Linked DNA regions of Elephas maximus indicus. The protein of the gene in region 1 interacts with the protein of each later gene in a biochemical or structural test. Links are inferred from orthologs where the notes say so. Each region holds a gene or a part of one and is shown on either strand. Other genes may lie near its edges. The genes, in order: TNKS, AXIN1, TNKS1BP1 and RNF146.

The links.
Region 2: the proteins of TNKS (region 1) and AXIN1 form a complex in vitro, tested with the Homo sapiens proteins (2 studies listed by BioGRID). The link is inferred for Elephas maximus indicus from reciprocal best matches to the Homo sapiens genes TNKS and AXIN1.
Region 3: the proteins of TNKS (region 1) and TNKS1BP1 form a complex in vitro, tested with the Homo sapiens proteins (2 studies listed by BioGRID). The link is inferred for Elephas maximus indicus from reciprocal best matches to the Homo sapiens genes TNKS and TNKS1BP1.
Region 4: the proteins of TNKS (region 1) and RNF146 form a complex in vitro, tested with the Homo sapiens proteins (3 studies listed by BioGRID and IntAct, with this or other methods). The link is inferred for Elephas maximus indicus from reciprocal best matches to the Homo sapiens genes TNKS and RNF146.

Annotation. Positions count from the first base shown.
Region 1 is NC_064840.1:71,012,934-71,020,781, forward strand, and holds the start of TNKS (poly [ADP-ribose] polymerase tankyrase-1), read right to left. Parts: upstream 3,012-7,848; 5' UTR 2,968-3,011; coding exon 2,298-2,967; intron 1-2,297.
Region 2 is NC_064830.1:57,641,649-57,648,679, reverse strand, and holds the start of AXIN1 (axin-1), read left to right. Parts: upstream 1-4,017; 5' UTR 4,018-4,101; intron 4,102-4,193; exon of another isoform or gene 4,194-4,214; intron 4,215-7,031. UniProt on the Homo sapiens protein: Component of the beta-catenin destruction complex required for regulating CTNNB1 levels through phosphorylation and ubiquitination, and modulating Wnt-signaling.
Region 3 is NC_064825.1:118,733,419-118,740,750, forward strand, and holds the start of TNKS1BP1 (182 kDa tankyrase-1-binding protein), read right to left. Parts: upstream 3,013-7,332; 5' UTR 2,878-3,012; intron 2,590-2,877; 5' UTR 2,578-2,589; coding exon 2,439-2,577; intron 1,351-2,438; coding exon 717-1,350; intron 1-716. Other genes in the region: FACT complex subunit SSRP1, read right to left, coding at 7,274-7,332.
Region 4 is NC_064819.1:195,289,346-195,296,860, reverse strand, and holds the start of RNF146 (E3 ubiquitin-protein ligase RNF146), read right to left. Parts: upstream 3,007-7,515; 5' UTR 2,915-3,006; intron 2,908-2,914; exon of another isoform or gene 2,746-2,907; intron 1-2,745. UniProt on the Homo sapiens protein: E3 ubiquitin-protein ligase that specifically binds poly-ADP-ribosylated (PARsylated) proteins and mediates their ubiquitination and subsequent degradation. May regulate many important biological processes, such as cell survival and DNA damage response.

The DNA.
Region 1 (7,848 bases):
TTTTGCATAACGACCTGGTCTTTGGAACCTAACTATGTGGATAAGCGAGAAAAGGGTATAATTCTAAGTAGCTGTCATTTGTTAGTGATTACTTCAAAAGAGGTATGATAACAAACTGCAAGATGTGTAAAACATGTTTTAAAATAGCAATTTACAACAAATTACGCAAAAGTAAACAACCTAGGTTGAGTTATAAAACACTTAGATCTTTTATTTAACTTAAAGAAAAAGAAATACTATTTCATGTAAGGAGTCCTAGTGGCGTAGTGGTTAAAGAGCTCTGCTGCTAACCAAAAGGTCAGCAGTTCAAATCCACCAGCCACTCCCTAGAAACCCTCTGGGGCAGTTCTACTCTGTCCTATAGGGTTGATATCAGTCGGAATTGACTCAATGGCAACGGGTATTTTATGTAAAATAAGCAACATCCTTGAGTAAATATCTAGTTGGATGGAAGCCTGTTTAGGATTCAGTTCACTACATCCCTAATAGTAGTGTCTATACGTCAAGAATGGATCCACTAACGTCATAGTGATTTTCTGTAAACGTGTTTCTCAAGCTGCTATATGAGTGGGTCACAAACAGAATCTGTGAAAAATGAAATATCAGTGTACACCACGCACAGTAAGAGAAAGTACTGTTTCCTGCAACTTTTGATTCAGTTGTGTATGTATATGTCACAGTATAAAATATATTTCTAAGTATACCCAGTGCCGTCGAGTCGTTTCCGACTCATAGCAACCCTATATTTTATATATTTCTAAGTATAGGGTACAGTAAAAAAGTGTTAAAGCTACTCTTGCAATGTATGCCCCCTGATTACTACTTCTCCCAAAATGTTACCAAAGCAGAACTCTGCACCACAGTGACTCACAAAACTTTAAAGTATCCTTAACCCAGGTGTTAAGTTATGATAGTTTAAGTTTGATTTCACAAGCTCTAAAATCAAACTGCCTGAGTTCAAATCCAGTTCTACCATTTACTGTGTGAACCTGGGCTTGTTTAAACAGTAAGTACCTCGTATTTATCATCTGTAAAATGAGGATAACAGTTATTTTCTGACTGGATGTAAAAATAAATAACACATATAGTAAGTTCTTAACATACATTTCATTACCAAAATCCCCGTCATCGAGTCGATTACGACTCATGGTGACCCCACAGGGTTTCCAAGGCGGTAAATTTCTACAGAAGCCGACTGCCACATCTTTCTTCTGCAGAGCAGCTGGTGGTTTCAAACTGCCAACCTTTCTGTTAGTAGTTGATTGCTTTGACCACTGCACCGCCAGGGTTCCTTATTTTATCACTAACAAGTGGAAGGAGTGACAAACAGAAACCCGGGAAGAAACTTAACCACAGATAGCTTTAGTGTGGCATGTCTGACATGCGAGGGCGTGTGGTGCTTTAACTTTTCACTTCCTATCTTTCTGTCCTATTTGAAATTTTGTATTATATATAATGTATACACTTCTAATGTAAAGTGTGTCATGCATATAAAATTATTACTTTTATCTTTTTTAAATACCAATAGTAGGTATGGGGACAGTGAGGTTATGGTCCTTTGCTTTTTTTATTTCTCCATTTTTTTAAGACACTAAGTGTTTTTAAAAGAATATACTCAGCTGTATGCTTTAAAAAAAAAAAGGTGAAGAATAAAGCGTGGAATCCAGGGCTTAAGAATTAGCTTTTTTTTTTTGAGAACTTATTATGTATTTCTACTTTCATGACATAATGCATCCAAATATTCTTCTCCAGTTGCTTCATACAGGAATATTTTGATCTCCCCAACTACACTGTACACTTCTTGAGAAAAAGAAGAGTTTCACAAACTTTATTTGTGTTTTCCACTGGCTTACTGAAACCATAACTGATGCTTAAACACTCGTTGAACCACATTAACCTTCTTCTGGTCTAGACCTGCTCTCGTGGGCATATCGTCGTTGTAAAAACGAAATGATCAAGCAAACAAAAGAAAATTACTCTAAGGTTGCCCAAATCTAACTTTATTCCTACACATTCAGAACTGAAAAGTTCGAGCATACCTATATCCAGAGACTACCACTACGGAGTATGAGTACAAGTAGCACTGTGCAAACACTAAACTATGGATTCACACAGCCCCTTACCACGCCCCCGTCACCTGGGCACTACCTAAAGAAAGGAGTCTTGTCTTCAGGTGAAGTGCTGAAGAACTATACCACGCTCCATTTTGTCCCATCAACTTAAATCAGTTTTCTTTTCGTACCCAGACCCCCGCCTCCAAGCCCCAAACTCTTAATAAACAATTTAAAACCTCTGACCTGCAGCGAAGTGCAGGGGAGAAGACTTCCGCCCGGCCATGTCCTTAGCATTCACGTTTGCGGCGTCCACCAGCCTCTTTACCCTGGACACGTCCCCATTGCGACAGGCCTCCAGCAGCTCCCGTAGGGCCCCGCTCACTGCGGCGACCCCCGGCCCAGGTCCCGCCGTCCCAGGCCCCAATGTCGTTGTGGTGCCAACGCCGGCAGCCTCGGGGCTCTCCGCCAAGCTCGATCCAGGAGAGGATGGAGAGGATGATGAGGAAGTCGGGGAAGAAGAGGACGACGGTGAGTTGTTACCGCCACCGCCGGATGGGTTGGGAGCGACCCCGACGGCAGATGAAGCAGAAACCACCGGGACCACGGGAGCGGCGGCGACGGTACAGATTGCGCTGGTGGTACTGCAACAGCTAGTACTGTCAACCGGGTCCGGAGATCGGGGCCTGTCGGGCGGATCCCGACTGCCATCCCCCTCCGGCAGTGCTAGGCCGTGCCGCGGGGAGGCGAAGGGGGCCAGGCCGCTGGCCGTGGGGGAGGCTGGGGTGGCCCCCGGGGCCAGGCCGGGGCTGAGTGGGGGGGGAGGTGGCGGCGGCGGCGCTGAAGCCCCTGGGGCGGGCTGGAGCTGTTGTTGATGATGGTGGTGATGATGCTGAGAGCGACGCGACGCCGCCATCTTCGGACTCCCCCAGCACTGTCACTGCGGCAACGGCCTCACCGCCCGCCCTCACTTCCGACCGCTGAACCAATCAGCACTCAGCGCACAGGAAATGATGCCGCGCGGGGTAGGCGGGGTGGAAGAGAAGGCGGGATGTATTGGGAGCTCAGAGAATGGCTACGGAAGGGGGCGTGGTCTCGTGGCTGAGGGGCGGGCTTTGTGACGTCTTGGCGGGCCGGCTGGGGAGATTTGAATGTTGGAGCCGGCCACTTCCTACCTGGGAAACTTCCTGCGTTTCTCACTCAGTTTGCCTTGCTGTGCTCTGTACGTTGCCAAGTCTCCTTCAGTCTTCCTTTTCATGCTACAGACCCAGCTCTTAAGGTGTAACTCACTCAAAGCAAACAGAGAATGTGTCGTTTGTCATCTATCAGCCTTTTTGTCTGGAAAAGGAAAAATGGAATAATACTTGTCTCACAGAATTATTAGCACGATTAAATGAGCTAACATACACAGAGGCCTCAATAAAACATAACTATAATTAGCCCATTGGTCATTTTAAAAATGCTGTCTTTTCTCTCTCAGTATTCCCTTTTGATCTCTGTATGTCATTGTTGTTGTAGTTATGAGCCGTCAAGTCGGTTCTGACTCATAGCGACCCTACGCACAACAGAACGAAACACTGCCCGGTCCTGCGCCATCCCTACAATCGTTGTTATGCTCGAGCTCATTGTTGCAGCCACTGTGTCAATCCACCTCCTTGAGGGTCTTCCTCTTTTCCACTGACCCTGTACTCTGCCAAGCATGATGTCCTTCTCCAGGGACTGATCCCTCCTGACAACATGTCCAAAGTAGGTAAGACGCAGTCTCGCCATCCTTGCTTCTAAGGAGCATTCTGGCCGCACTTCTTCCAAGACAGATTTGTTTGTTCTTTTGGCAGTCCATGGTATATTCAATATTCTTCTCCAATACCACAACTCAAAGGCGTCAATTCTTCTTCGGTCTTCCTTATTCATTGTCCAGCTTTCACATACATAGGATGCGATTGAAAATACCATGGCTTGGGTCAGGCACACCTGAGTCTTCAGGATGACATCTTTGCTCTTCAACACTTTGAAGAGGTGTTTTGCAGCAGATTTGCCCAATACAATGCGTCTTTTTATTTCTTGACTGCTGCTTCCATGGCTGTTGGTTGTGGATCCAAGTAAAACGAAATCCTTGACAACTTCAATCTTTTCTCCGTTGATCATGATGTTGCTCATTGGTCCAGTTGTGAGGATTTTTGTTTTCTTTATGTTAAAGTGTAATCCATACTGAAGGCTGTGGTCTTTGATCTTCATTAGTAAGTGCTTCAAGTCCTCTTCACTTTCAGCAAGCAAGGTTGTGTCATCTGCATAACGCAAGTTGTTAATGAGTCTTCCTCCAATCCTGATGCCCCATTCTTCTCCATATAGTCCAGCTTCTCGTTTTATTTCTTCAGCATACAGATTAAATGGGTATGGTGAAAGAATACAACCCTGACGTGCACCTTTCCTGACTTTAAACCAATCAGTATCCCCTTGTTCCGTCCAAATAACTGCCTCTTGATCTATGTAAAGGTTCCTCATGAGCACAATTAAGTGTTCTGGAATTCCCATTCTTCGCAGTGTTATCCATAGTTTGTTATGATCCACACAGTCAAATACCTCTGTGTAGTCAATAAAACACAGGTAAACATCCTTCTGGTATTCTCTGCTTTCAGCCAGGATCTATCTGACATCAGGAATGATATCCCTGGTTCCACACCCTCTTCTGAAACCGGCCTGAATTTCTGGCAGTTCCCTGTCGATTTACTGCTGCAGCCGTTTTTGAACGATCTTCAGCAAAATTTTGCTTGCATGTGATATTAATGATATTGTTCTATAATTTCCACATTTGGTTGAATCACCTTTCTTGGGAATAGGCATAAATATGGATCTCTTCCAGTCAGTTGGCCAGGAAGCTGTCTTCCATATTTCTTGGCATAGACGAGTGAGCACCTCCAGCGTTGCATCTGTTTGTTGAAATATCTCAATTGATATTCCATCAATTCCTGGAGCCTTGTTTTTCACCAGTGCCTTCAGAGCAGCTTGGACTTCTTCCTTCAGTACCATCGGTTCCTGATCATATGCCACCTCTTGAAATGGTTAAAAATTGACTAATTCTTTTTGGTATAATGAGTCTGTGTATTCCTTCCATCTTCTTTTGATGCTTCCTGCGTCGTTTAATATTTTCCCCATGGAATCCTTCACTACTGCAACTCAAGGCTTGAATTTTTTCTTCAATTCTTTCAGCTTGAAAAATGCTGAGCGTGTTCTTCCCTTTTGGTTTTCCATCTCCAGCTCTTTGCACATGTCATGATAATACTTCACTTTTCTCGAGAGGCCCTTTGAAATCTTCTGTTCAGTTCTTTTACTTCATCAATTCTTCCTTTTGCTTTAGCTGCTCAACCCTCAAAAGCAAGTTTCAGAGTCTCCTCTGACATCCATCTTGGTCTTTTCTTTCTTTCCTGTCTTTTCAGTGACCTCTTGCTTTCTTCATGGATGATGTCCTTGATGTCATTCCACAACTCGTCTGGTCTGTGATCACTAGTGTTCAATGTGTCAAATCTATTCTTGAGAAGGTCGCTAATTCAGGTGGGATATACTCAAGGTCCTATTTTGTCTCTCATGGGCTTGCTCTGATTTTCTTCAGTTTCAGCTTGAACTTGCATATGAGCAATTGATGGTCTGTTCCACAGTCAGCCCCTGGCCTTGTTCTGACTGATGATATTGAGCTTTTCCATCGTCTCTTTCCACAGATGTAGTCAGTTTGATTTCTGTGTGTTCTATCTGGCGAGGTCCATGTGTATAGTTGCCTTTTATGTTGGTGAAAGAAAGTATTTGCAATGAAGAAGTTGTTGGTCTTGCAAAATTTTATCATTCGATCTCCGGCATTGTTTCTATCATCAAGGCCATATTTTCCAGCTACTGATCCTTCTTCTTTGTTTCTAACTTTTGCATTCCAATCATCAGTAATTATCAATGCATCCTGAATTCATGTTCGATCAATTTCAGACTGCAGCAGCTGATAAAAATATTCTATTTCTTCATCTTTGGCCCTAGTGGTTGGTGCATAAATTTGAATAATAGTCGCATTAACTGGTCTTCCTTGTAGGCCTATGGATATTATCCTATCACTGACAGTGTTGCACTTCAGGATAGATTTTGAAACGTTGTTTTTGATGATGAATGCAACAGCATTCCTCTTCGAGTTGTCATTCCCAGCATAGTAGACTATATGAATGTCTGATTCAAAATGGCCAATGCCAGTCCATTTCAGCTCACTAATGCCTAGGATATCGATGTTAATGTGTTCCATTTCATTTCTGATGATTTCCAATTTTCCTAGATTCATACTTTGTACATTCCAGGTTCTGATTATTAATGGATGTTTGCAGCTGTTTCTTCTCATTTTGAGTTGTGCCACATCAGCAAATGAAGGTCCCGAAAGCTTTATTCCATCCACGTCATTAAGGTCGACTCTACTTTGAGGAGGCAGCTCTTTCCCAGTCATCCTTTGAGTGCTTTCCAACCTGGGGGGCTCATCTTCCAGCCCTATATCAGACAATGTTCCACTGCTATTTGTAAGGTTTTCACTAGCTAATGCTTTTCAGAAATAGACTGCTGAGTCCTTCTTCCTTGTCTGTCTTAGTCTGGAAGCTCAGCTGAAACCTGTCCTCCATGGGTGACCCTGCTGGTATCTGAATACCAGTGGCATAGCTTCCAGCATCATAGCAACACACAAACCCCCCCAGTACAACAAACTGACAGACATGTGGGGGGTGTGTCACTGAGATACACAAAAAATTTCATTTTGCAGCATAAATTTATCACTCTAAATACTTTGCTAATCCTACGTTTTTAAATTGTGGCTCAGATCAGAACTGGAATGCAAACTAAGCCATTTATAAGCTTTAAAAATTGGGACAAGTAATTTTACCACTCTGTATCAGTTTCTGGAGCCCTGGCGGCTCAGTGGTTAAGAGCTCGGCTCCTAACCAAAAGTTCAGCAGTTTGAATCCACCAGACGCTCCTTGGAAATGCTATGGGGCAGTTATACTCTGCCCTAAGGGGTTGCTAAGTGTTGGAATTGACTCGACGGCAACGGGCTTGGTTTTTGGTTTATGTGACAGGCATTGCACAATGGGTTTGGTTTTTTATCTGTTTCTCCTCTATAAAATTGCAATAAAAATAGTTCAGCAAATGCTAAGTATTGAAATAATGATTTTTTTCCTATTTTATTATCTCTACTTTTATTCTCACCCTAAGCTTGACTAAACTGATTATGACTAAGTTCCATTCTTGTGAATTCTTTTTTAGCTGAGCCTCTCTTCCTCTTTGTCATGGATTGAGTTATGTCCCCCCCAAAATGTGTGTATCAACATGGTTAGGCCATGATTCCCAGTATGATGTGGTTGTCCTCAGTTCTGTGATTGTAATTTTATGTTAAGAGGATTAGGGCGGGATTGTAACACCACCCTTACTCAGGTCACCTCCCTTACCCAAAGTAAAGGGAGCTTCCCTGGGGTGTAGCCTTCACCACCTCTTTTCCCTTAAGAGATAAAAGGAAAGAGAAGCAAGCAGAGAGTTGGGGACCTCATACCACCAAGAGAGCAGTACCGGTAGCAGAGTGCGTCCTTTGGACCTGGGGTCCCTGCACCTGAGAAGCTCTTCCACCAGGGGAAGTTTGAGAACAAGGAATCTTCCTTCAGAGCCGACAGAGAGAGAAAGCCGACTCCTAGAGCTGACACCCCGAATTTGGACTTTTAGCCTACTTTACTGTGAGGAAATAAATTTCTCTTTGTTAAAGCCATCCACTTGTGGTATTTCTGTTATAGCAGCA
Region 2 (7,031 bases), on another chromosome or scaffold:
GAGGTGAGATACTCTCTGAATGCGGCTGGTGCCAGGTCATGGGAACAGAAACCACCTCAGCTGCAGGGTAACGTCAGGCGGCGGGTCACACACAAAACTGTCACCGGCCAGCAGGGGCTGGAGTGGGGATTTGTGAGATTTTGGGGACTAGGATCCCCGGGGAGTTGTCTGCCTGAAGTGCTATAGGCTCTGGGGTTGGCAGGAGAATGGGATCAGCCTTGACAGTGATCCAAACACCAGCCAGGAGGACTGACCTGCCCATCAGGCATGAAGGGCAAGACAAGCTGAGCACAGGAGAAAAAGGAGCAGGAGCAGGTATTGGTGCAGTTCAGGGCCAACGTGGGCTTGGCAACCACAGCAGATGCATCTCTCAGGAAGGTCACCTGCCACTCCTGCAGGCACTTTCTCCCTGGTCACAGGCCCGGAGCCCACAGCCCAGCCCAACGCCCCACTCGTCCTGCCCTGCAGGGTCCCACCTTTGCCGCACCTCCCTGTATGGTTAATTGACACCATCAACCATTGACAGAAAGATGTCACTCCTTGCGTTTCCATCTGATCAATGCTCCGGGGTGGCCTTTTTTTTTTTTTTTTCATCTTTTGGCCTTTATATATACATTTTCTATTTTCACAGAAACAGGGAGACTGTGTGTGTGGTTTAAAAAAAAATCATTTATTGAGATAAAATATGTATATTATAAAATTTACCATTTTAACCATATTTAAAGTGTACAATTCAGTGGCATTAGTTACATTCACAGTGTTGTGCAACCATCGCCTCTATTTGCAGACATTCTCATTACCCCAAAAGGAAGCCCTGTACTCATTAGCAGGCACTCCCCATTCCCCCTCCCCCTAGCCCCTGGCAACCACTAACCTGCTTTCTGTTTCTATGGGTTTGCCTATTTTGGATGTTTCATATAAATGGAGTCATGTAATACGTGGCCTTTGTGATTGGCTTTTGTTTAACCTCATGTTTTCCAGGTTCATCCACATCGTAGCATGTGTCAGGGTCCATTTCTTTTTATAGCTGCATAATATTCCATACTTTGTCTATGCATTCATCTGTTGGTGGACAGTTGGGCTGTTTGTGCGCAGTTTTGTAGGTTTTCTCCTTGATGTTATATATCATGAGCACTTATCTGCAGTGGGTAGGGGCATAACAGATGACACTCCTCCCTCCCCCTCTGCTGAGCTTAGAATTGATGGAAAAAAAGAGGCTCAGGGACAGAGAGATGGAGTCCAGAGGCTTGTGGCCAGGGCTGTGCCGCCAATGGGAAGCCAATTCCCCACTCTGTTAACTGGATGGCCCAGGCTTCTGTCTTCCTTCAGGGCACCCCCTGTGGCACACACACACCTGTGACTCCAGCATATGCGGGGGTGGAGAGACCAGAGGGGCCTATGGAGAACCCACTCCCCTCCGTGGAAACCAAGGGGCACGGGCAGTACGGTTCCCTTAGACCGGCCATTGACTGTGGCCATCCGTCTATGCAGCTGCCCTTCTCCTGGATGCTGGGCCGCACCCAGTTCCAAGGATTGTCCATCTTGCATGACGGACTCCACACCAATCTTGGTTGCCCCAATGCCTCCCCCAGGTCACTTTTCTAAGTGTTCATCCACAGTTGATGGGGCGGACACCCTCAGGGCTTCGAGGTGTCCTTTATTTCAGAGTACCCCTTTTCCACCCAAGTTAGAAAACAGGTCATTTCTGCTCCTACATTTTTCATTTAGTCCTTGGTGAGCCTGAACAAGGCCATCTGTAGTTGATCAAATCTCCGTTAAAGCCTCTGGTGTCAAACTGCTCTCAGTGAAGGGGTGTTTATCTTTGAAAGGACCTTTGTTCTGAATGGAGAGCACTCTGTCCCCACACCTCTGGCCTGTTCTCAGCTCAGGGTGGCTGGCCCAGGGCCCCTGCCCAGGTCACCCTGCTTAGTCGAGAACACCTTCCTCTGCCTCTCTCTCCACAGCCTTCCTCACCATCTCTCTGGTCTGGCCCCTGGTGGGGGCATCTTCTGAGCTCACCCCCTCTGGCCAATGCTAGGTAGTCTGCTCTCCCCACCCTCATGACCATCATCCTCTTAGCAGGGGCCGCTGCCTCCCCCAAGGCTTTCTGACCCCCTTCTTGTCCCTGCAGGCTGGAGGCCCCCAGGAGTGGGAGGCCCAAGGGCCCTGTTCTGGTCCCAGGGCCTGGGGAAACCCTCTGCCTTGGGCCAGGAGGAAGATGGGCATGGACACAGCCCCCAGAGCCTGGCCTGGCCATTGTGGCAGCTCTGCAGATCGAAGGCAAGCTCTGGGGCCCTTGTCTGGGAGTGGACAGGGCCAGTGTCTGGGATGGCCTGCTGTCTGTCCAGCCCACCCAGGGCTGCCTCCCACCATGAGACTCTGCTACAGCATGAAAGCAGCCACTCTGTCTCCTCCAAGGTTCTGAGGCTGCACCAGGCAGGGGATGGTGCACAAGGGTCTCCTGTGCCCAGCACTCTGAGCCTGTGTCTGTCCAGTGTTGGCTCAGCAGTACAGCCCCTGCCCTTACTGCCCTGAGGCATGACGATGGCCCCAGAAGGTGGCCTGGGCCCTTGATGGGCTGGGAACCCTTCCTTAGTGCCCCTCCTTCCATACCACTCACCCCAGGCAAGCATCACAGGGGGCAACTGGGCAGGAGGTTGACTAGGGGCTCCAGGGGCTCCATGCCAGGACTTCTGCCCTTGCCGGAAGCCGTGAAGAATAAGGGGGGTGGACAGCTGAGGTTGAGCAGTGTCCAGAAGACGAGGTGACTGAACAGGCGGTCTGGGCCGCCTGGGTGAGCGGCATGGGTGAAAGCATGGGGGTGGGCAAATAACCAGACACATTGAGGAGTGGGTGGTGTGGGGGAGATGCCACTGGGTGAGCCCTAGGGGGCTTTAGAGCAGGGGCAGCCCAGATGACAGCTGTTGGGGAAGTTTGGGTGTTGAGGAGTCCTGGTCCAGGTGGTGACAGGTCCCTAAATGGCCCAGGCTGTAAAATGGGGGTACAGCTTCCCCTGGGGGTTGCTGGGAGCATCCAGAGAGGTGCTAGGCCTGATACCGGCTCTGAGAAGGGGTGGGGCACGGCCGTGATTCCTGGGGATCAGAGACTCCTGGTGGCCACATCCTTCTCTTGGAGAGGTGCTGACAGTGGACTGCGGCCTGGGCAAGGGGCTGGACGTCACTAGGAAGTTCAGCCCCCAGCCACCGGGCCTGCCGGCTAACTTGGGACCCCTACTTCCCCAGTGGGTGGGTAGGCTGAGGGGGGGTCTCCAGGGCCAGCAGGGCCTGAGGCTGCCAGTCCCACTGGTCACCCCGCCCACCCGGGCACGAGGTGGTGAAGCGCGAAGGGCGGTGGAAAGAGCGGCTGGGCATGGGCCGGGCCTGTGGGCGCCGACCTGAGGAATCCTAGGCACGTCGATCACCGGGGCTGCCTTCAGTCGTGTTGGCCGCAGAAAATCGTGGGCGATGCGGGGTACGCCCACATTCCCCTAGATCCAGAGCTCCCTCTCCAGGACCTGCCCCTCGCCGAGACTCCACCCCCCGCCCAAGGAGCAGTCCTGCGCTGTGGCTTTACCTTGCGCTCTCGGCCCCGCCTCCCCGTTTGAGGCCACACCCCCACGTTGTGGCACTACCCCCACGCTCTCGGGCCTATCCCCGCCCTCTGGCTCCGTCGCGCTCTCTTGGCCCCGCCCCCTCACTTCCGGGAGGCGCAGGCGGGGGTTCTCGGTCTTGGGCTTCGGCGCTTTGGGCTCGGGCTCCCAGCTCGGGGACGCGATCGCGGCTGCCACCACATCAGGAGCCGCCGGGGTCGGGCCAGAGTCGGGCCGCAGCCGCGTCCGCCGGGAGCGGACCGGTGAGAGCGGCGGCCGGACCTCGGCGGCACCCTAGCGCCGCGCCCTCCCCGTGCTGGCCGCGTCCGGGCCCCGCGTCCCGCGCTCCGCGCGGCCGCCGCCGCCGCCGCCGCCGCGGCCGCCGCCGCCGCCGCGATGGGGGCCGTTCCGGGCCGCGCCCCCGCCGGGTCCCGCCTGCCGCGCCGCAGCTGAGCGCATGGGCCGCGCCGCTCCGCGCCGGGAGCCGGGCCGGGGCCCCGCCGCCGCGGGCGGTGAGTAGGGCGGGCGGGCCGGGCCCATTGTAGGCCGCACTAGGCCGGCGGGCGTGCGAGGTGCGGGCCGCGGCGCGGGACCCGGAAGAGGGCTCCGAGGCGTGCAGGCCGGGGTGCGGAGGGGACGTGCAGGGGTGCGAGGGCTGAGCCGGGGACGTTTGGGCTCCGAGGGGATGCACGGGGTTCGAGGGCGTGCGGAGAAGCCTTGGGGGTTGAGAGGTATCCTGGGAAGATGTTGGGGTCCAGCCTGCCAGGCAGGGGATGGGAAGGCAAGGCCCTTGCCACAGAGACGTGTTAAGGGGGATGAGTGGGCTTGGTTCAGAAAGAGCAGGCCCTTGGTCTAGGTGTGTGGAAGAGAGTGAGGAAGACCCAGGATTCTGAGAGAGGGAGTGCTCTCAGGAGAAGGGTCGAGGTCTCAGCAGCTGGGTGTGTTTGCATGATGCAGGGTGGGTGCTGTTGTCCGTTGGCCTGGGGCAGGTTTCAGGGTGCAGGTGGGGTCAGAGTGGCTGCTGGGGCCAGAGGTCAGTGCAGGAGTTCTGGAGAGCGCAGCTGTGGAGTGCTGTTCTCCTTATCCCCCAGCAAAAGTAGGAGTAAGGGCGTCCAAAGCCTTGGCAGGCCCTCCCTTTCTGTGGCAGAGGTGCTGGGGCTCAGCTTGTCTGAGTACCCGCTTTTCCTGGCCTCCACACCCCCTGTTATCTTGCCTAAAACCGGGTCTCTCTTGTGGGTCTTCGTTTCTATCCCCACCCCACAATTTGGAATTCGACCCCCCCCCCCACGCACCCATGAAACCAGGGCTGCACAGCTGTGGCAGCAGAACTTTTTAACTCCTCAGGAGGTCAGTAGGGATGATAACATCAGTCCTCTGGGATTTTCCTGAGCCCATCCCTAAGTTAATTTATAAAGGGTCCTCATTGTGCACAGCGGCCCCTCCCTCTTGGCTCATCTGTATTCTTTGCATCTTTAGGCAGATCTCATGTTTACTTGGATCCACAGGCCGTGGTCTGGAGAAGCACATACGTCTACACCTGACCAACCAGAGATAGTCAGCAGTAGCTCAATTTCAATTTAAAGAAATTCTGTTCGGTACAAGGGTGGGAAAGCATGTAAATCATGGTGCTTCTGCTTGATTTTCAGCTGGTTCTGACCTTTCAGAAAGGCTGATCGTTAGAAATTCAGGTGTTGGGGGATGGATTGTATGTAAAGCAGTAGCCCTGACCATTCAAGAGTTTAATTAATGGACTATTGGGAAAATGTCAGAGTTATACTGTTACATCTGCTCTCCATCTAAATAAAAAGTTCGGAAGATAACGTTTGAGTAAAATCTATCATCTCATCTCTCTACCTACCTACCTACCTAGGCACAGGTGTAGTGGTTCGGTTACTTGAGGTGGAGGGTGCTGCCATGGTCCAGGGGTGTGCCCAAGCCAGGACCAGAAGAAATGTAAACAGTGTCAGGCTTATAGATCGCTTTTTACGGATTCACTTTATTGATGGTGGTTCCAGGCTGTGGGCCAGAGTTAGTGTTTGTGGCTACTTGGCGCAGACCTGAATTAATACAGCTGTTCTGTGTGTGGTGTGTATGTGTGCACACTGAATAGTACACCTGTGTCTTAGTTGGAGCCCAGGACTGAGACCACGAGAGCAGGTTTATGCTGTCAGTAGTTTGTCAGGGTGTCTCCGTGCTTCAGGGACACCAAAGATCTCCGTCAGTGGACGGCCAAAAATAGATGAGAATGTTGGGAAAAGTTTCTTTTAGCCTGTGAAACTAGTTTAGCATGATTAAGGTGGATTTGGTTCTCAGATGAATTGAAATGTCATTCTTGAAAGACACCTGCAACTTTGTGATGAAAGGTTAGATCTAACAGCCCCTTAAGAGCAGGGACAGTAACAGATGCGTAATTAAGTTCCCACTTAGAGTATTGTTTGGTAAGTGATTTTTTCATGTGTCTAGTGACCTGGTTCCTCCTCATGGTGTGTGCACTGCAAGGGTCCCAGGGGCGTGTCATGTTGGCATGTGCAGAGATACAGACACAGGAGGGATTGCTTGTGGCTGACAGGGCTGAGGGACAGCGACTTTTGTGGCAAAGTGGCCATGAGCGGCGGGACACCACAGCCAAGGGGCCTTGACCTTAACCAGCAGGCATTCCTGCTGAGGCCACTGTTGCAGCCTGCCCAGCAGTTTTCATGAAAAGTCACTCGCTGCAGAAATGTTTTCCAGTGTGTCTCGGGTCTGGCCCCAGGTGGAAGCAGGGCCCGGCAGCATGGGCCTTAGGCTTCAGAAGGCTGCCCTCTAGACTAGTCCTCGGGTTTCACTTTGCACACCCTGGCCTCTTTAGCACTCCGGAAAACCTGTGATCTCCAGCATTTGTATAGCTGGGACCTCTTAACCTGGTGGCTGATGCAGGGAGAGAGAGGGTGAGGTTAGCAGGAATGGTTGTGGGCTCCTTGAGGGTGTGGTGGGGGGCCCTGAGGACCAGGCAGAGAGTCAGTCTGTCTGAGCCTTGTGTCCAGGACGATCTGATCCTCATATCCATGCTGGCTTGGGCGACACCAGCAGCAAAACCCTTGAATCTATGACCTCTATGAGGGGAGGGGTGTTTCCTTCAGTTTACGGAATTCAGTCACATGAGCTCTGTGCTTCCTTGGCTAAAACGTGTGACTGGATTTGGATTTGATTTTTTCTTGTGCCTTCTTGGTTTCTTAAAGTACCTGACGGCCACCTGCTGTCAGATGCTTTCTCACACTGACGGTCAGGATGCCCTGTGCTTTTGCAGGTATCCTCCAGTCACTCAGCCCGTGACGTTGGAGGTGACCCCCAAGTCACGGCTTTTTTGTGTGAGTTGAGAGAGGAACACCTTACTGTGGGTTACACACTGCACGTTGTGCTGAGTGTGAAGGGGTGGTGGACAGAAAACATACCCGCTGTTGGC
Region 3 (7,332 bases), on another chromosome or scaffold:
CTCCATGCAGCTGAGGGATCCTGAGATCCCTGAGCCTTTTCTTCCATTGCCCAGTGCCCATGACCCCAAGGGGCGCCTGCTGGCCTGCTCTGAAGAAGTGTACTTAATGCAACAGTCTCCAGTCCAGCCATAACCTGTGTGTTCACACTCTCTGGTATGTGCAGTCTTAACTCTCCCATCAGACTCCTCCTCTGGCAGAGACTGTACCTGCTCATCCTGCTGCCCCTCCCACCTCAGGCCTGGCACACTGCTCCGCCCACAGTACAGGCTTCAGAATCAAACAGACCCGAATGCAAATGCCAGCTCTGCCTCTTACTTGCTGAGGGAATGTGGGAAATCGTTTTTTGATCCTCAGTCTCCCCCTCTACAAAATGGGTCTAAGTTCCTTTCACCCAACAGATGGTTGTGGATTAAAGGGGACAAGTTTGGAAAATACCTATCTTAAGTGCCCAGCTCTCAGTGTATAGAAACTAAAAGTAAATTTCTATGTTAGACATTTGAGCTCTCTACAGTAAACATGCAGCAGCTCTGTAAGCATGGTCCCAGTAGTATGTTGCTGGAGGAGTACATCTGTGACACTTAGACCAGGGTGTACCTGCACTCAGAGCACACAACTTGCCTAGAGGTGAAGCTTGCGGCCCCAGGGAGCCACCCACGGCATCCTCAGTACCCCCGGCCTCCAGGTACAACAAAACATATGACCTCCCCACCCTCACCTCTCCTCAGGGGTCTTGCTATGCTCTTCCTGGCTCTCCTTTGGAGACTTCAGGGGCCCCTCCTGGGACCATCCCCTGGAAACGGTCCCGCCATCCTCAGCCCTGGGGCTGGTGACAACGCCGTAGGTCCTAGGGCCATAACGTGAGCTGCCATCGTGGTTGAAGGTGAGGCGGGAGCCCCAGAGGCGGTCAGGGCTGGCAGGAACCTCCTTCCGAGGCTGTTCCATCTTGGCCAGGATCTCTTCCACGGTGGTGGCTGCGAAGCGCTCTGAGGCTGGACGGAATGGGGCCGGGGCCTTCCGAACGCCGCCCAGGGCAGCACATCTCGCTGGAGGGGTCAAGGGGGGCACCTCCTCTTTGCCAGCCTCCTCCTTCCCAGTCCCTCGAGTGGATTCTCCTCCATCAGGGGCATCAGCAGTAGGCCTTGGTGCAAAGGGGAGGGGACGTTTGCTGCCACCATAGGGCTGGGGTCCCGCCAGCATGTTCATCTTCCGGGCAGAAGGCAGCTCAGCCAGAGGGCCCCGGGGGGGCCGAGGCCCTACAGGCACCAGTAGGCTGGGCTTGGCAGGCAGGGCTGGCTTGGTGGGAAGGGCCCGGGGCTTGGGCTTGACAGGGGGTTTGGCCCGAGAGTCACCTATCAGAACAAAATGGTTGGGGGGCAGCTGTCAGAACAGCGAGGAAGCAGAACTTCTTGTGTTTCCTGTTCCACCTCATCTCCCACCCTCCCATCTCAGAATGTTCACATCCTTCTAGGCACAATTCAAATGCCACCTCTTCCACGAAGCCTTCCTTGATTTCCCACATGCATCCTAAGAGCATCTTCTCCCGTCTCCAAACTTCTAAAATGTTTAGGCATTTCCCCCGTATAAGTTACTGCTATTTAAGGGCCCAGCTGGTACCCTGTTTGGTACCTAACACAAGGTCTTATCAAAAGAAAGAAAAAATGAATGAATGAATGAATGAACAGGCAAAAGTGTCCATAAATAAATGCCTGACCACCCATATCAAGCCATGTGGCCAACCATCCCCCTATCTAGTCCTCCCCCTTGTATTCTGGGATACTCTTTTATCGATACTCTACTATCGCCCATGACAAAACTCTTAAGCCCAGCTGGGCTTCCGGGCCCTGCCTCCCTGCTGCCCCCGCCCCCAGTATACTCCCAGGCCACCTCCCCACTGTCATCTGGTAAGATCAGGAATGCAAATTTACTATTGACCTAAGCCAAACAGAAGTCAATCTGCTACAGCAAAAAAACAAGACCAGAAAACTGCCTTCTATATAAGGCATTCCAATGCCAAAGAAAGACCTTGGAATTACTCATGGCCACCTCCCTTCTAATAGAATCCGGTATGATCCCCATTCAGCTCAGTGTAAGAAAGCAGTCTAGACAGAGAGCTAGGAGGCCTGGGTTCAAACCCCATCTCTCCCTTCTGGGCCTCAGTTTCCCCTCGATAATACATGAGGCTTGATTGATCACATCATCTTGAAGAGCCCTGTCTGCTCTTACCTGCTGGGGGCTCTATGCATCTCAAACAGCCCCAGATGGTCTCAACAGCCTCTTCCGAAGGGGCTGAGACCTTTACAAACTCATCTGGACGTCCTCACTCCCACCTCAACAGAACCATTCCTGGCCCACCTCCACAAAAACAGAATGGGGGTGTAGTCTCTGCCCCTCCAACCCTCCTCCTCAGCTACCCGCCCCACCCTGCACCCATGGGTACCTGGCTCAGAGCCAGTGAGCACCAGCTCCTCCTCCATCTCCCGGGGCGGTGGGGAAGCCATGGCTGTGCCTTCCCTGAGAGTTGAAACTTTCATCACATGCGGCAGACCCTGCGTGAGATTCAGGGAGCAGAGGGGCATGAGCTGGGGCAGCTGAAGACCCAGGAAAAGAGAAAAAGGAAGAGAAGGAAAAAAAAGTTGGGCGTTGGCAGTAGGCTCAGCCAAGGGAAGTCTCCTAGCACAAGGCAGAGAGTGGGACAGGAAGAGGGAACTTCCGAAGGAGGCTGGGGGAGGTCAAGGGAGGACTCCAGCTGCCAAGTCCTCTCCTCTTCCCAGCTCACCCTCCAACCAACTCTTTCCTCCCGACCCCAGAGTCCTGGACCTTCAGGGAGCCACCCACTGCTCCCTCTTCTGGCAAGCTCTCCAAGTCACCCCACTTACCGTTCCCAAGGCACCCCTTGGGTCCAGCAGCCCCGCTGGAGTTACCTACTCGAGGTAAAACAAGGAGGGCCAAAAAGTCTGAAGTCTCCCAGTGAATCACCTCATGGGAGACGGGAAAAACCCGCTCCTCCCCAACCTGGGGCTCCGCCCCACTGCCTGCCTCCCCCTTCCCGCTCACCCTCCTTCTCTCCCTCCCTCCTCCAGCTGGGAGTGGTTCCCTCTCCCCCTGCCACCCCCCTTCCACATCCCTGCCCCTCTCCCGCCTCCCTCAGAGCCGTCTAATCCAAACACGGAAAAATAAGGAATAAAAAGTAAACATCTGGAATATATTTTTTTCTTTAATTTCTCAATCGCTTTGGCTTCAGCTTAGAATTTGATGAGGTAAAGCCAAGGCCTAGTCCTGTTGCCATAGCAATGGCCTCCCACTGGATTTCCAGAGCCTTGCCAAGAGGAAGGAGGAGCCGGCCCAGGCCTGGGCTGGGAGAATGGGACAGGGCTTGAGAACATCCGGGGGGTGGAGTGGCTTGGGGGAAAACTCCCTGGGGTTCCCCCTTCTAGGACACCCAGGTTGAAACAGCCACAGCCTATGAAAAAGGGAGATAAGTGGGCATCACTCACCAGCCTAGAGATAGCATGATGGGATTTTGAGGGGGGTGAGGAAAAAATTAAAACAAGAAACACAGTCCATGGTAGAATCCAAATAGGTATCCCTCTTCCATATCTATAACAGGTGCTTTGGGTCTGAGAGAACCACGATTCAAATGCTGGATGGGTCTACCACTTTGTAGCTATGTGACCTTGTGCACATGGCTCACTTCTCTAATCCTCGGTTTCCCTATCTAAAAAATGGGGCTATCGTGGCTGTTGGGGGGCTTAAGTGAGGTACCCATTAACCATTGCCGTCGAGTCGATTCCAACTCATAGTGACCCTATAGGACAGAGTAGAAGCGCTCCATAGGGTTTCCAAGGCTGTAATCTTTACGGAAGCAGACTGCCACAACTTTCTCCTGTAGAGCAGCTGGTGGGTTCGAACTTTTGATCTTTTGGTTAGCAGCTTAACCACTGTGCCACCAAGGCTCCTTTTATGCATGCAAACTGCTTAGCACAATGCCTAGCACATCATTAAGTGTCCAATAAACATTAGCTATTATTACTATTATTCCATTCACAGTCTCACCAATGAGCGAGCATCTCAGGTAACCACTTCCTCATCTCCCTGGACCCCAGGCTCTCAGCATTCCCATTCTTTCACTTCCACACACCGCAGTCATGTCACCTGTAGCTCAGATACTCCACCACCTCCTCAGTTCCCATCCTGGCTCCTGGAGCACCATCCCACCCACAAGACCCCCCAGGCACTCCAGCCTGGGAGATAGAGCCCTGCCCCTTGAGGTCAAAAGTAAGAGGAATGTTTCCTACGCACTTAGTGCTCACAAAGCACATGAAGGCAGCAACCCAACCCTTTCCGATATGCAAGGGGCACCACCTCCCACATACACTCCAGCTGGTCTGAGAAAAGACAGCACCAAACCCTAAGAAGGGGGCTCTGGTGCCCAACCATTGCAAAACCTATCCCACTTACCTGTGCCCCTGCCCCACTGTTTCAAACATAAGAGAGGATGTGTGAAGGGTAGAAAGAAGCCCAGGGCTATCAACTGGTCAACCAGTTAGTCGAGAACCACCCAGGGCTGCCCACTGGGTGGGAGAATAACTGAGCAGGTCCCTGTCCAAGTGTGCATGGGGGAGGAGCCACAGGACAGAAAAAATTAAATTAAGAAACACGAGATCGTTTACTTGTCCTTGAACATTATTACAAGGGACATGGTGTGGGTGGTTAGATAGAAATGGAGACAAACTGGCCCAGAACCGAAAAACCCTTTCACCTGGGGGCCTGATGTGGACCTCTGGGGTCTGAGAGGCTGCACCATGAAAGCAGTCATGAACGTGAGAACATGGATTCCCCAATTGGGGAGGGGGCCACAGCAGCTCAGAGGCCCCAGCCAGGAGCTCCAGGTGACCAGACCGTGACCAGAAGCTGCAGAATCGGAGCGGCTCCCGACCACTCCCTACCCCCAGGGGTCCCGGGGAGCCGAGCTGACTGATCCCTGGCAAAAAAGGCCGCCAGAAGGGCTGGGGAGGGGCTGGGAAGCTCGAGCCCAGGGCAGGGGCCTTGAGGCGACTCGGCGCAGATGGGATGGTCCCTCTGGACCCTGGGATCTCTGGCCGAATCTGGGGCCAGAGAGGTCAGCAGGGACGGCATGCGAACTGCTGGAGGAGGGAGGGCCAACCGGAAGGCGGAACAGCCCGGGGCGAGGGGCCGTCTGGAGGGGCCCAGTGGGGAGCTCTGGACACAGAGGGGGCGGCGGCAGCTGAGGAGGAGGAGGAGGAGGAGGAGCAGAAAGCAAAGCGGAGGACCTGTGCGCGGGATGCGAAGCAGCCGGAGAACAGATGGAGGACTGAGGACGCGGACCGGGTGGGGGCGGCCTGGGGTGGCTGGGGGCGTGCCGAGGGGCCGGAGGAGAGGAGGGAGGAAGGGGTCACCCAGCACCTCGGCCCGCCCCAGGCCCTCGCCCCCTCCCCCCTTTCTTCTGGCTCCTGCAGCACGAGATGCAGACTGTGCACCCTTCGCCCCCGCGGCCACGCGTCAGCTCCCCTGTTAGCTCGCGGCCCCCGGCCCCTGAAAACTTTCCCTGAGACCCCCGCCCCACCTCACCCAGAGGTCCCAGCAGCAAAGCGCCCACCTCTCCTATGCCCCTCCCCTGCCCCATCCCGGACCCCGCCCCCTCCCTCGCCCTACCGCCCGCCCCCGCTCACTCACGCGCTCCCCGGGGATGTGGCTCCGCTCGGCTAGGCGCCCCGACGCCAGTCCCCACCGCCGCCGCCGCCGCTGCCGCCGTCACCGCGGGACCGAGCCAGAGCGAGCACCGGCGGGGCCCCGCCCCTAGCTCCGCCCATGACCACGCCCCCAGAGCACCTCATGAACATTCATAAACCGATGCAACCCCGGGAGTGGGAAGCCCTGACGGAACTCGCCCGACCAAATGCAAACAGCGCCGCCCTGGTACTCAATTATTCATGAGTCTTGCAAATGAGGGGCCCGCCTCAGCTCGGACCCGGCGAAACTGACGCAATTCGGGAGTTTGGAATGCTCGGGCAAGATGGCCACCGAGACGACCGCCTAGAGTGGAGGCTGCCTTAGGGCGACCCGATACGCGAGCCCAAGGGCCTGTACTGATGGCAGCACCATAGAGTCACGGCAAGAAAGAAGGTAGCCGTTGGCGGACCGGAGAGGCTTCCTGTTGCCACCCCCGGAGTCCTCCTGAGCACGTACGCAACGTGGCCACCCCACGTGTGTAAATTCAGATTTAGAGCCACCGGGAGGAATACGGTGGCAGCCCTGCTTTCCTTTCTTTGCTTATCCTCTGCTACGCTACCTTCCCAAATATCGCTCCTTCCCAACCCCCAAATTTAGTATCCTCTCCCTTAAGAACAAAAGGTTTACATACTCCATCATATTTTTTCTGTGCCCTATTAGACGTGTACGCGCGCACACGCACAGACACACACCCTACTCATCTTCCCCAACTCTCCAGGCTCAGGTTTCTACTCTCCTGGTTGCAGGGAAACTGGTCAATTCAATTACCTAAAGCCTGATTCAATTACCTAAAGCCTTTGAAGACCCTTGACTCATAGGTGATTAAGGATGGAGCCAGAGGCTGCCTCCTCTTAGCCAGGCTAATGGAGTGGAACTGTGAGAGAGACTTCCTAATCAGATCAGCTCTCATTTCTACACTCTCAGGTGGCCCGTCCCGGCAGAAGAGCGTGAAAACCAATGCTTGTCCAGCTGGAAACAGAACAGGATGTACCTGAAGATTGCTTCCCAGCTGAGAAGCTGGGCCAGGGCGATACAGTAGACAACACTGGGAAAAACGGGCGCCATCCGACAGGGCTACAGAGAAGGCACAAGGACGTGGTTTCCAAAGTCAGTTCCCTTTATTAAATGTTGATTTTCGCAGACCAGAAATACAAAATAAAAGTAGAAATTGGCGCCCATTAGGAGCTACAGGCCTGGCCTCACTTGACCCCGTGCTGCGGCAACTTGAACAGGTCAAGCAACAGCGTATCCTCAAGGCTGGAGAAGCAGGACAAAGGGTCTCGATCCTGCACTGCCCTGCCTCCCAACCAATTTCTCCCCAAATTAGAGAGCCGTCTTGTGAAGCAGCAGAGGAAGACGCCTCCTCAGCCACTCCGGTGAAGTGCATACCCGCAGGAAAGCTTGGACAGATGGCCCAGAATCCAGGGCTACCTCTCATGGGAGGAGAAACTGGTACCAAAACATGGGTGGGGAGCCTTGGGGGTATAACTGGGCAAGCAGGGAGAGACAATTTCCTCCTGTCTACTCATCGGATCCTGATGCCGAGTCCTCTGAGCTGGGGGGAGTACTGGCTAGTTCCT
Region 4 (7,515 bases), on another chromosome or scaffold:
TCCTTTCTCCAGGGACTAGTCCCTTCTGGTAAATACATGAGACCAAGTCTCGCATTCTTGCTTCTAAGGAACATTCTGGCTGTACTTCTTACATCTTAAGAGTTCCAAATTGACAGATGTAACTAAATGCCCTAATGTTTCCACTTTTCGCTTTTACTATTATCTCCTATTAAAAATTAGCTTACACAATACGGTGGCCATACTTGGCAACAAGTATTCAGTCAAAACTCATTTTAGCTAAAAGGAGTCTAACACTTCACACTACTCTTATTTTAAAGAATTATTTCCCACATATATATATTATTTCTCTTAAGAAAAATTACTATATGGAAATCTACTACCTTCACAATCTTCATATTCAAGCATTAAAAGTTAAAATTTTCCCCAAATAAAACGTGGGCCTTGAATTTTATCTTAATAAAACATGACATCTGAATGTCAACAAATATTGTCTTTTAATCATACCAAGCACAGAAGTGCCACAGCCTGCAACCATTTTGTAAATAAAAAGGCTTTGCCACTAATTATCTGTGTGACCTTGGTCAAGTCATAATCCTCCATGTCTTAGTTGTTTCACCCTACTCTATAATTCTGTAACTCAAAATGTTCTAATTAACAGGCATTTAACAACAGGTTTTGCTATAATTAACCAAAAAGGTAATATGCCACAAACACTAAACACAATCCATAAATAAGTACAGATATAGCCCAGTGTTAGTAAGATGGCTTCTATACTCACAAAAATTGTTCCTAACTTAGCCTGATTCACCAATTCAGGTTCTTTAGTCACAAACAGAAACTAGCAAAAGTGGAAAAGGCTCAGCAATCTATTGCTAATATTGTCGAAAAAAGCTTTCAAATTCCTGACAATATGTCAGGCGTTTCATGTGAGTATATGGCTAACACATTTATTCTTTAAACAGATGAATGATATGAAACAAAGAAAAAATTTAATTTTATCTTTTTCTTCAAAGTCAAGAAATCATTTTTGGGTCCTTTCAAAAAGTCTGCCCCTTTCTTCCAACGATTCAAGCTGTGGAAACTGAAACAAAACACTTCACTAGTCGATAAATGTCTGCAGAAAGAAAAATCACTTTTTTTTTCCCTTCCTTTTGTCTAACGACTAGCTATTGAGAGAAACAGCTTACCTGATGATTATAATTCTACTAAGTTCTTACCACCCATCGAACAACAAAAACTTTCAAAATGTTTAAGTATCATTATTTCCATTTTGCCCACAACTTACACTGGTCCATTTGAAACATCAATTCTAAATCAAAAGGGCTTAAAAAAGTGCTCCACAATACAATATACAATGACAAAACAAACACACCAAAATCTATTTTTAGAGTGGTATTCACTCTTCCGGTTTTCTCTTTAAAATGTCATTTACTTGACCTATTTTCATGTGTTTTTAGAACACCCAGCCACTCACTACAAACAATATTTGCTGGTCATAAAAACAACAAACCTAACTTTATAAATCCTGTGTTATTTGTGTGGGTTATTTTCTTTATGTCTTCTACATGCCATGTCTTTTAAAAGTCTAAATACAGATTCACTTACTAAAAACAGTCTTAAGTCTCTAATTTCTGTAATTATATACTACTTTCAATGCCCAGTGTTACACTTTACACCCCATTTCAACACCTAAAATGTCAATCATACAAAGTGTTTTCTATCATCTATTAGTTATCTTCTCCTCAGTTCCATACTAATATTAGAAAAATGTTACCTAACAAAATGTGCGTATTTTCAAAACCTGAGCAGCAAGTGCTCACTAAAATGACACTTAGTGAAAAAAAATAAAACCTCTCATTGATAACTGAAGGGGAAAAAAATCCAGTTGCCAGAATGTGTGCATAAACTTACAATCCTGTAGATTTTACCTGTGGAAAGAACTGTTCCATCTCTACACTGTCCAAACATTTCGCAACCTTCCTGGAGAAGCCTTCAGAAAATAAAATAGCGACAACAATGGAGGAAGACCTGTACTCTTTCAGACGGGGTGGGGGGTAGGGATAGAACTCCACACCCAGCAACCAGAAGAACAAAGCAACACTCTGCGCTTTTAGGATGCACTTATGTTTGTAGGCTCAAACGGTACCCTGAGAGATCTCTCAATTTTTCCGATGTTTAATAACAGTCAAAACAAAGATCTAAGAATATGCAGCGGTGGCTCGGGTGGACGAACGGCTGTCTTCATATCCATCCGGGTTCAGGCAAGACCGGGACAGTGGGCAGGAGGAGGAAGAGAGGGAAGAGAAAAAGACAGCAAAGGCACTCGAAAAAGACAAAATACATTCAAATGCGGGGACTGTACACCCAGGCCTCGATATGACACAAGGCCCAAGGTGTTTGACTCCTCACGAGAAACAGGGAGCAGGTAACCCCCAAACCACCGCCTCACCTAAGCTCTAAGGACAAGATCTTCCAGACAGAGGCCTGACACTACCGCCGAGAGGGATGAGAAGGTACCCGGCCACCACCAAAGGCCGCGATGCGGACCGGCGGAAGAGGCTGCGCAGTAATGGCCGCTGCTCTGCTTCTCGCACCCCGACCTAGAACAGCTCCGAGCCGTCGCTCGGGGCAGGGGCTGCAGCGGCCGCGAGCACCACTGAGGCCGTGAGTCTTCCTGCTGCGACAACAGTCACGGCGGAGGCGGCGGGAAGGGTTGAACTCTCCCATCCCGCCTCCGCGCGGACAGCCGGGGCCACGCCGGCCCAAGGGCGTCGATCTACGTACCGGTCCTGACCCCGCCGCCGCCCCTCTCAGGCCCCGAGCGCAGGACAGACACGTAGCGAGTCGCGACCGGCGGTGACACCGCGGGTAGCCCTCCTCTCCCCGAGACAGGATTCTCTGGCAGGGCTAGCCTCCCTCCTGCCCCCCAGGAAGGCTTGGCCCCGACCCCCACCTCTTGGCCACCGCAGCGGACACTTCGCAGTCTTTCCTCTTCGGCCTCCGAGCCCGCAGCGGCCGGGGACGCGCGCGGATGTCACGTGACCTCCCGGCGCGTCCTAGGGGCGGGGCCCCGCGCTGGCGGGGCGGGGCGGGTCTGCGCGGGGCGGAAGGAGCGCTGCACAGCCGGGAGCTTGCGCAGGAGTCCCTGCCGGGCCGTCCCCGCTTCGCTGGTTTCCTACCGTAGCCGAAGCGTTTGTTGGGTGCCGTCCTTCTCCTTCCTCAGACTACCTGCAATTTCGGTTTATATATTGTTTTATAAATATCTTTATATATTGTTTTACTTATGCTTAGGTCCAGGAGGCTCTGAAAGGGAGAGGGAGATTTTGGGTGGACCAGGTGGGACGTATATAGGACCAGCAGGTGGTGCTGCTCAGGAACCCGACTGGGCCATCCGGAAGAAGTCCTTGCGCAGCTAGCTAGCTGGCTGGCTTTCGGTGTGAAGAGCTCTTGATAAAAGTGCTCTTCTGTTTGGTCTCTTTCGAGAAAAAAAAAGAGTCCTTAAGATGTTCGAATTCACCCTCAGAATAGTTGAGCAGTTTAATTAGGGGAAAAAAAAATGGATCTTACTTTCTGTTTGGACTCGTTTTTCCCAACAGAAAAGAACACAGGAAGCTGGAGAAAGAGATTAATCAGCATACCAAAACCAAACCCACGGCCCTCAAGTCAATTCTGAGTCATAGGGACCCTGTAGGACAGAGTAAGACTACCACATGGGGTTTCCAAGGCTGTAAACCTCTGGACGGTGACTGCCAGGATTTTCTCCAGAGGATCAGGTGGTGGGTTCGAACTGCTGGCCTCTGTTAGAAGCTGAGGACTTAACAACTGTATAACCAGGGCTCTTTAATTACCATGCAGAGCTATAATTTAAAAATTGGGTGTTTTTTTTTTTTTGTAGCGTGTGTGTAATTTTAAACATAAAAAAACTTGGCAGTATTATGCATTTTATTTTAGCATGTGCTTTACTTTTTTTCATAACTGACTAAATTGTTTTAATTTGTAGAAAATGCGGAGTGTGGAAGGGAATGCTTTGTATAGTAACAGTACATATTTCAACATTCCATGGCAGTAGTATTGCATTTTGAGGTTTCATTATTTTTTTCAGGCTTGGAAATTTTCAGTGTCCTTGTGTTTTTTTTGTTTTTTTGTGTTACCTAGTGGAAACCCCAGGTTCTTGTTCAGGATAACTCGTATTGGCCTTGGTGGGAGAACAGGAAAGACACCTTTATTTTGTTGTACAAATAAAAGTAGTCAGTCAGAGCCCTTGCTGCCAAGCCTACTGCCCGAGGGTGAGCAGGCAAGTTATTTTTAAGGAGTTTACAAGTAGGGAGTTCATGTAAGTTATGTCAGCAACATTCTTAATCATACTACCCCGGCACAATAGGGTTTACAGATAAGCTCCAAGCAAAAGCAGAATTCAAATGCAAAGCCTGTGGGGGAGGAGCCAGCAAAGGAAACAGGGTTTTTAATGCAACACTGTGAGGGTTCTGTCTCACTTGTATCTATAGATCTGTGTACATTATCTTTTATTTCTCTGAATTCATATTCATCAATATGTAATCAGTCTCTTCAAGAGTTCTATCTATTCCTTTGATGTTTACTCATTAAGAAGTACTCTTTTTCTTATAAGTGTAGAATATGAACATGTAGGTCCTCCACCTGGAAGTTTAGTTTCATATCTTCATTCTTTCCTTAGCCATTCAATTTTACTCCTCTATCCTACACTTTTTTTTTTATCCTACACAACCTGTGAACAGATAATAGCAAAAAAATCCAATATATAGCTTATAGATTTAAGCTTAAAGACATAATAGTAATATTAACTTACAGTGTGCCAGGCTTTGTTTTAAGTGGTTTTGTAAAAATGGTGTGGCGGGGGCATCTGACCTCCTCTAACTTCACAAGGGGGAAGAAGAATCATAATCAACATCAACAGCCCAAGACTGTTTGCTCTGAGGTGGAGGTCAGACATGCCTCCTCTCTCCAATCTTTTTACCAATTCTAACACCAACCGTCCCTTCTATGACACTCTACTTCCCTGCTGAGCTCAATAATTCATTGCAAAAACTCACAGACAATGCTCACAAATATGGGCTCTATCAGGGAAGTAATAGGTTACAATTCAGGGTACAGTTCTTCAATCAGGGCAGCCTCTTCTCACCCATGCCCTTATGAGACAGAGCCCCCACAGTGCTGTGTTAAAAATCCTGCCTTCTTTGCTTGGCTTCCTTCCCCACAGTGTTGCATTAAAAATCCTGTTTCTTTTGCTGGGCTTCCTCTCCCTCAGCTTTGCATTGGAATCCTGCTTTTGCTTGGAGACTATATGTAAACCCCATTGTGTCTGCATAGTATGATTAAGAACGTTGCTGACATAACTTATGTGAACTCCCTACTTGCAAACCCCTTAAAAGTAACTTGCCTGGCCTCCCTTGGCGAGCAGTCTTGGCAGCAGCAGCTCTGACTTTTCTTTATACAATAAAGGTGCCTTTTCTGTACTCCCACAGCAGTCTCTTGTTTATTGGCCGATACGAGTCATGCCGAGCAAGAACCTGGGTTTTCCACCCAGTAACATTTCTGATGAGCCAGCCAGGAGCCATCTGTTCCGTTCTTGAGGTGAATCAGACAACATACCACCCCAGTGTCTGGCACCACCAGGAGATTTCTTCTGTAGACTTTGGGGCAGCTCTGAAGGCCAGTCCACCTGGGACCCAAAAGATGGCTCTGTGGAAGACATGAAATGCACCTGAGTTGTTTTATAAGTACCTAGGCTTTTTTTTTTAGGCAAGATGAGTCGGAATTGACTGGACAGCAGCGAGTTTGGTTTTTGGTTCAAGGTAAGGCCTTAGAAGAGTCCCAAGAAGCGGGGGAAATTGACCATTGAAGGCATTAGGAATCTGAACTTATTTAGTAAATAACCAGGTAATTCCTAGTAAGGCCTTAGAAGAGTCCCAAGAAGTTTGAGGAATTGACCGCCGAGGGCATAAAAGGCTCAGGTACCTGTTAAGTTGGTGCACTGGATTAGGTTGTGTGAGTCTTAAGTGTGTATATCCAAAGAATGGGGAATGTTCAAAGATCCCAGAATGTGGCCTGCTAAGATGCATCCTTAAGAACTGGGAACAGAGACTTGGACAGACATGGCCCTGGCAGCATTTCCCTTTGCTTGTCCCTTTCCTACTTTTGCCTCTTTAAATATACTCTGAATAAAACCTTTCTTTTTGCTTTACTAAACTTTGTGGTGTCCTCACCCTACAAGAGTTAATGGTGTAGTTGTTGCAGGGATTCTAAAACCATGAATCCAGTCAACCTCAAGGAGACCTGGACTGTGGAGCAGAAGCCAGCAAAAAAGAAAAAGAGGTCCTATCTCTTGGACCCACGTGTTCGCACTCTATGTCCCTTTGACACTGACAGGGGGAGTGCCCTCGAAAAAGAGTCTTCACTTATTCTTTTTGTTCTCTTTTTCATGTTTTTTTAAGCTTTGTTTGGCACATTTGTTTTGAGAGCCAGTTGTTTGATTAAGGAGAATCTTTCTTAGGTTTTTTGCTTGATCATTTGGTTAAGAATGATGTTCAGTAACTCATTTGGTGAACTGCAGTTTTGTGTCTGGATTCAGGCATATGAAACATTAAAGAGACAATTCTATTTCCAAAGAGCTCTGGGTCACTCACTATAAGCTGCAAATTTTGGGCACAGGTCAACCAGCAAAAGCCATTAGGGTGGTCACCAGCACTCATCACAAGCGTTAAAGACTCCTGTGACAGGATAACGTGGTGTGAGATAGGCTAGAGTACTAGAGAAAACCTGGGTAACAGTTCTGTTTTGCCAAATTCTCAGAGAGAAGTAGTAGTTCAGACCTGTTTTATGATATAGTTTCTCAATAAAAAATCACAATGTTAAAGTCATCAGTAGCTACTTTAAAATACTTGCCAATTAAAGAAACTAATTTCCAAAACCTTTTAGGTAATTTAAGGTCTAAAATAAGAGACTAGGTCTCTAGTCAACAAAATGAATTGAGTCAAAAAAAAAAAAAGAACCAAAAGCTTGAACGTTAGAGCTTGACATTTTTGATAAATGAGCCTGAATTTCCCCCACTACTGAGACACTGGTTTAGGGGTCATATTTAAAAACACTATAAATATACTAAAAACAATTTAGAATTTTAGTGGACACTTTGAAAAAATGAGCTTTGCATTTGTGTTGTTTTGTCTTTTCCTTTTGGGGGAACTTTTGCTTATTGTTCAATTTTTGTCAAAAGTTCTAATATTCCTCCATCTGAGGCTCTGGCGGAAACCCTGGTGGCATAGTGATTAAAAGCTAGAGCTACTAACTGGAAGATTAGCAGTTTAAATCTACCAGGTGCTCCTTGGAAACCCTATGGGGCAATTCTACTCTGTCCTTTAGGGTCGATATGAGTTGGAATCAACTCGATGGCAACAGGTTTGGTTTTGGTTTGGAGGCTCTGGAAAGTTAGTAAGTTTTATCTAAAACCTGTTTGTTTTTCTCTGTGAATCGAGTCAAGAGAGTGAGGGCATGGCAAGATCAGACCTCCCCAGCCCCTAG